3 linked regions of the Caenorhabditis elegans genome follow. The protein of the gene in region 1 interacts with the protein of each later gene in a pairwise test. Each region holds a gene or a part of one and is shown on either strand. Other genes may lie near its edges.

Evidence for each region.
Region 2: the proteins of vit-6 (region 1) and mcm-6 interact in a two-hybrid assay, tested with the Caenorhabditis elegans proteins (one large-scale study listed by BioGRID).
Region 3: the proteins of vit-6 (region 1) and stl-1 interact in a two-hybrid assay, tested with the Caenorhabditis elegans proteins (one large-scale study listed by BioGRID).

Annotation. Positions count from the first base shown.
Region 1 is NC_003282.8:8,259,056-8,262,810, forward strand, and holds the start of vit-6 (Vitellogenin-6), read left to right. Parts: upstream 1-2,117; coding exon 2,118-2,212; intron 2,213-2,303; coding exon 2,304-2,763; intron 2,764-2,820; coding exon 2,821-3,755. Other genes in the region: K07H8.7 (Lipoprotein), read right to left, coding at 193-322, 373-498, 567-689, 773-924. UniProt on the Caenorhabditis elegans protein: Precursor of the egg-yolk proteins that are sources of nutrients during embryonic development. May play a role in cholesterol uptake. May be involved in thermotolerance.
Region 2 is NC_003281.10:9,792,251-9,796,005, reverse strand, and holds the start of mcm-6 (DNA replication licensing factor mcm-6), read right to left. Parts: upstream 1,640-3,755; 5' UTR 1,639-1,639; coding exon 1,403-1,638; intron 1,354-1,402; coding exon 1,065-1,353; intron 1,018-1,064; coding exon 732-1,017; exon of another isoform or gene 711-731; coding exon of another isoform or gene 495-710; intron 453-494; coding exon of another isoform or gene 174-452; intron 117-173; coding exon of another isoform or gene 9-116; intron 1-8. Other genes in the region: srxa-10 (Serpentine receptor class XA 10), read left to right, coding at 9-116, 174-452, 495-710; R10E11.9 (uncharacterized protein), read left to right, coding at 2,448-2,505, 2,738-2,810, 2,862-2,951, 3,150-3,420.
Region 3 is NC_003279.8:9,486,192-9,489,946, forward strand, and holds stl-1 (Stomatin-like protein stl-1), read right to left. Parts: upstream 1,839-3,755; 5' UTR 1,836-1,838; coding exon 1,789-1,835; intron 1,740-1,788; coding exon 1,604-1,739; intron 1,562-1,603; coding exon 1,403-1,561; coding exon of another isoform or gene 1,399-1,402; intron 1,339-1,398; coding exon 1,031-1,338; intron 950-1,030; coding exon 625-949; 3' UTR 454-624; downstream 1-453. Other genes in the region: gly-21 (GLYcosylation related), read left to right, coding at 1-129, 174-349; sacm-1L (Phosphatidylinositol-3-phosphatase SAC1), read left to right, coding at 2,306-2,462, 2,510-3,044, 3,284-3,755. UniProt on the Caenorhabditis elegans protein: Mitochondrial protein that probably regulates the biogenesis and the activity of mitochondria.

The sequences.
Region 1 (3,755 bases):
TTAGTCTCCTGCTGTTTACAAAATATTCCATTCAGCCGAGCTGGAACGACCTTCACATCCCTTTTAACGCGCCATGGATCCTGTCGTGTATGCATTTAGTAACGGGATTGTCCTTTTCCAAATAGAATAAAAATCGATCTAAATTGAATCATACTTCATTTCCAACTATAATCAAGTTTCCATTAAATCGATCTATTTCTTTTCAGTCGGAGTCAACGTTGATTTGATCAGCTTATCCGCAAACTGCACCTTCTTTCCATTGGGCTTCTCAACAATTTTCCGCTCTTCTGGGACTGTTAATTTGGATATTCCTTTCTCGGATCTGAAATAATTTACAAATAATTGGTTAAAATTTCAATTAAAAAAACCAACCCTGCAGCTTTTCCTAATTCCATGTTAATAACTTGAGTATGCTGTGAATCCGTTTCAGTTTTCTTTTGCAATGTGGTTGCTTTTTGAAGGTTTTTCTTTCCACGAAGCATTTTTATAGAGTTCTGGCTGAAAAATAGAGTTTCAAGTAAATTTGTTAGCTTTTCAATTTTCATTTGAGGGAAACAAAAACTTACATAACACTTTTCTTACTCTTTGTTTCTTCTTTCGGTGGCTCTGGTTTTACCATCACACTATCTTTTGGTATTGCAGTTGTTTCAATTGGAGACACAATAGAAGTCGACGCTGATTTTTTTGTACTGGAAACAAATTGTATTTTGTGGCACAGAATGGGTGAAATTAATTATTCCACAGAAAGGATTGCACTAAATAATAAACAAACCGAGAATCTGCATTCTTCGTTTTTGATCCTCCACCTTTTTGACTGCATAATATCAAAACTCCAGAAATCAGTGATATAATGAGTGCCATTGAAAAGATTTGTGATTTGAGAAGTATCAGATGAATATAGAAATTATTCCAATTTGAGAGCATAGTTGGAAATCTCACCAAATTTTGAAATTTGAAAATGAGTTAGTAATTTTTGAACAATCTGCCAGAGATTAATTAAAGATAAGGAATATCCACAAATTACAAATATTGGATATTAAATATGATTTCACGTCATAACTGAGATTTGTATAATATCATAATTGTACGGAAATATTTAGGTATTAGTATTTCAGCTCACAATCAGACTTTTTAATGAAAACTTAATTCAAAAGGGGATATCTTAAATATCATTACAAAACCTTGTTAGCAGCAGAACTAGAAAGTTTAAAAAAACACCGATTTGTGGTGCATAATGTACAAACATCCATTGACAACATTTCTTTAAAAAATAATTTTTTACTAAAACATTTTGAAGTCAAAATTAAATTTTTTCAAAAATAAAAAATTTACGGGCCTCTAAAGTAGTGGAAAATGCACAGCAAAGTATTCAGATAGACTTTTTTCTTGTTCAAAATGCACCTTTGCCACTAAACCGAAATTCTTGCCTTGTTCATTAATTGTTTCAAGTTTGTAGGATTTTTAGAACTTTGAAATATCTAAATTATTTGTATTCTGAAAAATATTATCATTTCGCAACAAAAAACTAGAAGCAGAATAATTTATTGTGAATCTTGCTATTTTTTATAGTTTGTGAAATTTTTTATACTTCCACATTTCATGAACAGTTTGGTTTGGCCACATGACTAAGGCGTGACCCACATAGAAAACATCAGGTGCCTTTGAAGCAATATTTCACATCTTCGCAAAGCTAAGGTCATTGTTATTTTTGCCATTTCATGACTATAATGGCATCATTTTATTCCCCCAATTTAACCAAAAGTCAGATGCAAAATGTTGAAAGTGTTGCAATTTCAAAGTAGAAAATGTAACTAAACTGTCAAAGAAAATTGTCATACTTTGACCAGAAACCATCTCCCCATCCACCTCCCCTCATCGGAGCCACCCGCCAATCCCAAAATGGTACCTAACATTACTGACACTCTCCCGCACTCAACAATTGACACCTGTCTCAATGACTGATAAGCATGCTGAGTCTCTTCAATCCGCATGGTCTCTAAGCTACTTTCAGAATTGCAACATGCTGCGATGGACATCTTGTCGAAGTTTAAGAGTATGTATAAAAGGACACGAGCTTCATGTATTCTTCACTCGGTCACTTAGATCGATCAATCACTATGAAGTTCTTCATAGCGCTTGCTCTCTTGGGAGCGGCACTCGCCTCGACCCATTTGGATCGTTACAACTCCATCGAGAGAAATATTCAAGAATCGTAAGTTACTTTTTAAATCATTTTTGAGAGTTGACCCTTTTTATATTTCAATTATTTTCAAAAATATCAATCACATTGTACTCCTTTTCAGCTCATTCCGCGCCGGACGCGAGTACCGCTACCTCTTCAATGGCCAGCTCTCTGCCGGACTTCCAGTCCCATCTACCCCACAAGGAATCTCACGTCTTCAATCTCAAGTTACCCTCCAATGGACTGATGGAAACACCGTCCGCATGCAACTCCAGAAGACCCGCTTCGCAACCTCTCAGCAAGAGTCCAACTCCATGAAGATGCTCCCATTCGAGCGTTTCGAGGAGGTTGAGCGCATGAACCGTGAGCACCAAGAGCTTTTGAGCATGCCAGTTGAGTTTGATTACGAACACGGACTTGTCAGAGAGATCCGTTTTGCTGAGAACGATCAGCCATGGTCAGAGAACATCAAGAGAGCCGTCATCAACATGCTTCAAGTCAACATCCTCAAGAAGGAGAAGTACGAAGGAGCTGAGAAGAGTGACAACCAAGAACCAACTTTCTCTTTCACCAATGTTGAGGTAAGTTCTAAATATACATATATATTTGAGTTCGAAATTTGAATAATTGAATTTCAGCGCACCCTCGAAGGAGAATGCGAGGTCCTTTACACCGTTGAAGAGATCAAGAAGGAGGATGAGCAACGTTGGGCTAAGTCGATCAACTTCGACAAATGTACCCGCCGCCCATACATCCATCACGTGCAGACTCCAGTGTGCAAGGATTGCCAGCAAACTCTTGAGCAAGACAAGATGAGCTCCACAGTTCTCAACTACAACATCACTGGAACTTCATCAAGCTTCCTCATCAACTCCGTTGAACTTCGCTCCCAACACCTTTTTGCCCCAATCTCCGAGAAGCATCAACTTGTTTCTGCCTTCACCTTGAACACCATGGAGCTTATCTATGCTGGAGAGAAGAAGACCGAGATCAAGCAAGTCCGCAATGAGAAGACTTCCGAGCTTGTCTACAACCAGGAATCCGAATGGGCTGAGCAACAATGGGCTCAAACTGGAGAGGAGAAGTACCTTAGACAACTCCCACAATGGACCGAGAACAAGGTCGAGATGATCAAAAAGATGTTCTCTTTGATGGCCAAGCAAATCGAACAAGGAGAGGCTGAGCTTGAGGCTGCACACACTGTTGCCAGAATCGTCAAGGTTCTCCGTGAGTGCAACGAGGAGCAACTCGAACAAATCTACCGCCACGTCGCTGAGCACAAGGATGAGAAGATTGCTGAGCAACTTCGCTCCATCTACTTCAACACCCTTGCTCTCGCCGGAACTCGTGTCACCATTCAACAATTCGTTGACAAGGTTCAATCTCGCAAGAACATTGCTCCACTCAAAGCCTCCGTTGCCATCAAGACACTCGTCGACATGCGCTACCCATCTCTTGCTATTGCTGAAGATATCGCTCGCCTTTGCGAATCCGATGTATCTTCAAGCTTCCCAGCTCTTCGTCAATCCTGCTGGCTCACCTACGGAGCTATTGTCAATGGAGTGTGCGGACA
Region 2 (3,755 bases), on another chromosome or scaffold:
TTCTTCAGACTGCCAATTTCGCATGTCTTATTATTCCCTATCTGAGTGAGTGTCGGATAAATTATGATATACGAAAAGTTGGATTCATATCTGAATGTGCACCAGACAGGCATCAGGTAAAGTAGATCTACGGATGATATCTGTGTTACAAAAATTAATAATTTAATTTGTAGATCACAACGTTCTCCAATTATTACTCTGTATTCTTTCCGTTCGTAGCATTCTTTTTCAATGTGCTAGTTATTATAAACTTCAAACTTCAAAGATCACCAACATATACAAAGATCAAAAATATGTTCCGACGTGGGAATGGAGATCAGTTTACATCAATGCCTTCGGATGTTTTAAAAGCGAAAAAGAAGACTGAACGAATGCTTATGATTCAAGCTTTTATCACTGCTTTCTATCTTTCTGTATATGAGCTAACAAGTCTTGTTCTACGAGTTGTTCCGGTATAAATTCAACGAAATAGCGTTTACTATGCAAGTTTTCAGGAACTCTTTGGAAATCTTTCGCTTGACGGAAAGCTCGCATTCACTTATTTTCGACTAGCTCAGGTGCCATGCCATGTATTTCTAGTATACTTCATTTTTACCCCTGTTACCAGAAAAATCTATATGGATTTTGTTCGAGAAAGAGTTTTCTGTATGAAACCAGCGAAAAAGAAGACAATCAAGGTATCTGCGACAACTACTTCCACTAAGAAATGAGTTTCGAATAAAATTGTTTACCTCTGTTCTGATTTGAAGTCTCAGCACGAAGTCCAGGAGTGCTCAATTGAGCAATATCTGGAATGACGATAAGAGTTCCAACAATGTCACATTTATCTCCTGGTTGGACAGTTTCAACCATTTCTCCTCGAACAATCACATCGACAGTACGTGGAATTGATCCACGAGGCAACTCTGCTTGAGTCTCCTGAATTCTAATCTTCTGGAAGTCGACGAAAGTAGATGAGTTGACATCGAGACTGAATCTGGTACGATTCATGCATTGAGGATTAGCACATTTAGTTGGCTGAAAACATTTGAATTCGTTATAAGCTAATTATTATCTCCGCATACCTGAGTGTATCTGAACTGCTGTTGAACATCACGTGTGGTAACACCGCAATCCTCACACACGAAACAAGCCCGTGAAAGTTCTGGATGCACTGGGTGAGTTCGGACAATCTGACCGGCAATGCGCACGAGGCCTCCGACTTTGTCCGCAGAAAGCTCACGAACTTTCGTTTTCGCATCGAGATTGAACAGCGAAACGTACAATTGCTTCTTGAACATTTGCTGTCTCTCACTTTCATCACAAGCATCTAAAGTGGCCAAGTGTAGAGCTTCGCACATGAATGGATAGACCCTGAAGTATATTTATAAGTATTCGAAAATACTAATCGAATTTAATTTACCTGTAGTATTGCAGCTCGATAGTTGTTGCGAGATTGTTACTGAACTTGTAGAGATGTTGCATGTTAATGAAAATGGTATTCTTTTCTGGTTGCACGAGCTCCTTCATCGCAGATTTGTAGATAAACTCATTTTTCTGGTCTTTGAAGCTCTTCAAAAACTTGGAAAACTCGTTCTGCACACGAGTTCCGTCGGTGTCCTCCACTTGCTGGGCTTGACCGCCGATAATGTTGTCCATGCTGAAAGAATTGATTTAAAAAGAATTAAGGCAACTTTCTTAATCGAAAAAGTAAGAAAGAGAACTAGAAATTCAGGAAGTCGGTGCAATCTGAAGAGGAAAACAATGAGAATGCGGGAAAACGACGAGAAATAAGACACCTAAAATTCAAAACTCAATTTTGGCGGCAACCTGCGTACCGAAACACTGGAGTGTTGTAGACGAAACAGTGTGCGCGGTAAAGAGACGCAGACAAATTAGGCGCGAAAACTGTGCGGCTGTGAATTTGAATTTCGACAGAAATTCATTGTCATTCAGAAACTTGCTTTTTCAGATGTAAAAGATATATTTTATGAATAAAATAAAAAACTTATTGGGAAAAATCAAAAACAGAAAAAGGCGCTTTAAAAAATAACAATTCTTGCCATGTCGTCGCAAGACCATTTCCCAAAAACGTGCCTCCCTTGAAACTCACACGGTACGGTACTTTGATAAAAATCGGGCCTACGATTTCTAATTTAATAGCCTGTAATGTAGACTTCAAGAATCAGTAGTTATTGAGAGTCACGAAAAATTTGAAACATGCAAAATTCTCATTCAAACTTGAATTAATTTCAAGGGGAGATAGGTTACCTTGAGACCATTCGGGTTACTGTACTTCTTAGAATTTCAGAAATTCGGGCGATGTTTAGAATGAATAAATATGAGTCAGACGTGCGCAACAGGCCGAGGAAACTTATGCGAGAATATGTGTATGTTTGCTTTCTGGACACTACAACTTCCAAGCTTTGTCGACAGAAAAGTTGTGTTATACTGCTTTATCGATAAGTATGCACTTTCTCTTTAAATTATTCGTTTTGATTTTAAATCTAACTCTGATCTCAAATGGTGAGTTTCGACAATTTTAAAAGTTCAAAGTTCAAAAGGCGCTATAGTATGATGAAATTCACCTATAAACATTTTTTAGAGATTTCCATTTAATTTTGAAAGGCGCACGCTGGATTTCTGAGTGGGTCTCGACACGATCTCGGTGCTACAAGCCATATTTCTCACCTAGCTTCAAGTTTATTGGAAAATATGATGAATTTTATTAAAATACCTTGTCAAAGAATTGTTTCAGTTAAATCTCAATCATACAATGACGTCATTTGCCGCCGACCGTGGTATTTTAACTCACCACGACCTGCTCCAATGTAAGTTGGAGAATATTATAATTGGCAAATAATTCCGTTTTTCTCGTTTAGGAGGTGTCCAACTGCTTCTTTCTTCACATATTATGAATGTTGTGGAGAGTTCTTGGAAAACTGTTGTTGGAGATTTAGACAAGAACCCATGTAAGCTTTTTGTAAAGTAGCTCTAACTAGATCCACATCTAAGTCATATAAATCCACAGAAGAAATTTAAGTTTTCATTTGAGCATCTGTAGTAGAATGAGACATCTCTCAGAACATCCCTATAAGGGGATGAAATTTTGGATTTCTTAATTTGGAACATCTTAAACAGGAACATCTTGAAAACTAAACTTTTTTCAGAATAATCGGAGTAATTCTTCTTGTTCTTCTCTTACTTGTATGTTGCTGTTGTTGTGTTTCTTGGATATTCGTTGGAAGAAAAAAGAAATCTTCAAATATTGAACCAGAAAAGAAGCCAACAAAGAAAGACTCACAAATTCAAACAATTAGCAGTTCAACAATAGATTCTGGAACTCAATGGGAACTCCGAAGAAGCTACGAGGAAACTGATAAAAGAAGGTCTTATGCAGCTGCTAGAGATCAAGAACTGGATTATCAATATTTTCAATAATTATATATTCTGCTCAATTGGATTTTTTTTTGAAAAATTAAAACGTTCCGATTTTCATTTTCCTTGAAAGTGCCATATTTCCTCAAGGATTTTACAAATTTCAAATTCCATTTGTAGACTTAAACGCAAGTGATGCAAAAATAGATGTATGTAGAATAATTTTCTCTGCGGTAAACTAAATATTTCAAAATCAAAGAGCGACTTGGTAGGTAAACTAAATATTTTAGTTTACCTACCAAGTCGCTCTTTGATTTTTCAGTCTCCAAAACGAATAGCTCCTTGTTTTTCTAAACAATTTTCTTTCCCAGGTACCTCGTTGCAATTTTCTCAAATTG
Region 3 (3,755 bases), on another chromosome or scaffold:
AAACTCATTGGCATCTTGAACAATCCGACGGACTATATCAAGATTGTAAATCCAAGTGGTTAAGGCATTCAATATGTGTAATTGGAGTCGAATTTCTACAAGAACTTTCAAAAAGTCCGATGGTTATTGGTGATTTTTGAACATTCATGTTTATAAATAAATTGATTTTTCAGCAAACAAAGTGACCGCCAACTTCGATTTTGGAACGATAATTTGCGTTCGTGAAATGATAAAAACCAATAAAACAGGAAATAATCCAGATTCTCAATGGCTTTCCTACTTTCCACAGTTTCGTGAGATGTTGTTGAAAGCTAATGGAACTTATTACAAGAATAGTTTTCAATGTTGATCAAGTTTTTTAAAGAAAATTTTGTTTATTATTTTCAAATTTTTCACTAAACAGTTTTCCTCTGAAAATCATGTTATCTGCATTTTAAATTGAATTCAAATGAAAATTCAACTAATTCATCTGCTGAAAATTTAGAATAACGAACAATCAAGAGATTTTTGAAAAGATGATGTAAAATTACATTCAAATACCAGTAAACCAAAATTTAGAAACAGGGAAATATGAAAATGGAGAAACGGAAACTACGCTTGCACATAAACTCAAACAAAACATTTTCACTTTTTCTTATTGCTCAATGAGTCGTAAACAGCAAGTGCTTGAGAAACCATACTTCCTGGATCACTGAGATTTGCCGGAAGAACAACAGTATTTGATTCCTTGGCAAGATTTCCAAAAGCTCCAACATATTGCTCTGCAACGGTCAATCCAGCAGCATTTGCACCTCCATCTTTCTCAAGAGCCAATGCAATACGTTCAATAGCTTTGGCACGAGATTCGGCTTTAAGGATTACTGCTTCTGCTTCTCCCTTTGCTACATTGATACGTTCGGCTTGAACAGCCTCAGACGCCAAAATAGCTGATTTCTTGTCTCCTTCGGCCCTGGAAATGTTTAAATTTAGAATATTTTTACAACTCTCACGATGTTACTGAATGAAATGTGTAATTGGAAAAATATTATACCTATTAATGGCAGCTTCTCTGATTCCTTCTGATTCCAAAATCGCGGCTCTTTTCTTTCTCTCAGCTTCAACTTGCATTTGCATAGCTTCTTGAATTTTTGATGGCATCTGCATATCTCTGATTTCGTATCGCATACATTGAATTCCCCAAGGTGCTGATGCTTTGTTGATTGCAAATACAATATTTTCATTGAGCAATTCCCTCTCCTTGAATACTGTATCCAAATTGATTTTTCCAACTTCACTTCTCATCGTTGTCTGCGCTAATTGAGTTACTGCGAATTCTGGGTCATCGACTCCGTACGATGCCTGCAATTTACAAAGAAGTGTTATTTTTCAATTACAGGCGAATCAAAAAACAGGCGTCACATGCCTTGTAGGGATCGAAAACACGCAAATAAAGAACTCCGTCGAGCCTGAGTTGTACATTGTCAATTGTAATGGCTCCTTGCTCAGGAATCTCAATTGCAATTTCACGAAGATTTTGAACGAATTTGATTTTATCAATGATAGGCAATAAGAAGTTGAGTCCCTGAAAAAGTTGGTTTATTAATTACCTTTTAGGAAATGTTACCGGTTCAAGAATCTTGTAGAACTTTCCCATTCTTTCTACAACCCACGCTTCTTGCTGTGGAACAAAATTGATGACAGTATTATGTGCAGCATGGGCCTGTCGTGATGATGTCACAGCTAATGGGAGCGTTGAACTTCTAAATAATATAATTGCCCCCCTCACAATAATTTAATTTATCGGCCTACCTTAGAAGAGCTGACGAATTCATTAAAAGTCGATTAGTTAGCGCCATTTTCTGTAAAATCATTTTTAATGATGCAATGCAATTTCGAAAGATTCAGCAGTTTAAATAATGTATTAGTGGGAGGAGGATGGCAGAAAAGTATTTCGTCATGGTGGTGGCCGAGTGGGAGAGATAGATTAAAAATATGCACATTTACATCAGGACTGAGAGATTTTAATATAAACACCACTATTCTTCAATTTTTAAGAAACGAAACGTTCACAAAGTATAAAAATATAAAGAATAAAAATACAATTAATTTAAAATAATGTCTGTGTAGATTTACGGTAAACAACGCTCCCATATGAAAGACGGAGTGTCGTCACCCGTTTCCACGTTTTCGCATTCAAAGAAAACATGTTTCATGTATTCTATCACTATTGTTGTATCTCTTATTGATTTTTTTGTTTTCATGCGTCGTTCTTCTTTTTCATATTTTTTTTCCACAACAAACTTCATTCCCTTTTCAGCTCTCCAAAATGGTGGATAGTCTATTGAGTATGGACATCTACGAGAGTTTCAACTTGTACTCACACCCAGAAAAATTCTTCTTAGAACCAACCGATCTCGGCGGTGGTGCTGCGTCGAAACATTATCTCGAAATCGATAGACACACAAATGTGATGAAAATTATTGGTAAGTCTGACTTTTGGTCTGATCTAAATATAAATTTATAATTACAGATTCACGCAAGCAGCGAGTTCCAATTGCTGATACGGACATCAAGTTTATTTATGGGATTTTGGGAACAATTAAACTAGTCTCAGGATATGCTTTGATCGTAATAACAAAGGCTTCTTTGATCGGACAAGTTAATAATCACAACATCTGGACTATTCAAGATGCCGAGATTATTCCTTACAAGAAAACAACACTTCACTTGACTGAGAAACAAATTAGATATAATAGATTATTCACTGATATGCTCACTCATGTGCTGTCTATTGGCGGATTCTACTACTCGACGACTCTTGACATCTCACGCACATTTCAATGGCTTCAGGAGAACGCTGTTCCTTTGTTCAAAACAAGAAGTATGTTGGACAGAGCCAGCGAACGTTTCATATGGAATGGACATCTACTGTCACAGATCCGGCAGGTCCCTGGTGCAGAAAGATACACATTGCCCGTTATTCATGGTTTTATTGGCCAGAATCGTGTGAATGTGAATGGAAAAGAGATTAAATTGACTATCATATCCAGAAGAAGCATTTATCGGTAATTTTTTTTACTTAAAAATGTTTTAAATAAATTTGTAATAATTAAAAAAACGTTTATTTCGATTTTCTGGACAAAAAATTAATACTTCTAACAACGAGCTCGCTTTTCACAAAAATGTTTTGTCTGAATCCAAGATATATTAGTTTTAAATAATTATTAACCTTTTTAGTACGAATTTCATGTTTTTTCATAGTTTTCTCTGAAAAAAAAACTATTAGTATAATTCAATTTTTCAGTGCTGGCGTCCGTTTCTATAAACGTGGAGTCGACGTAGATGGTCATGCAGCAAACTTTGTTGAAACAGAACAAATCGTTGAATACACGAATCCTGACAAGCACCTGACTTCGTTTGTGCAATTGAGAGGTTCTATTCCTCTTCTCTGGACTCAAAAACCAAATCTACGTTGGCAACCGATGCCTACACTGAAACCAACAGATGACCAGCTTGCTGCTTTCAATCGAGCTTTTTCGTGGCACAAGCAACACTATGGTGGTAAACATGTGATTGTAAATCTTGTAAATCAAAAAGGAAGAGAGAAAAAAGTTGGAGGAGAACTGGAGAGAATATCACGACAAGCAAATATCGAATTTGTTCGTTACCATCAATTTGATTTTCACAAAGAATGTCATTCTATGCAATGGCACCGAATTGATTTGTTGCGGGAGCAGTTAAGCCAAGAAATTTCGAGTTTTGGATATTTTTACTTG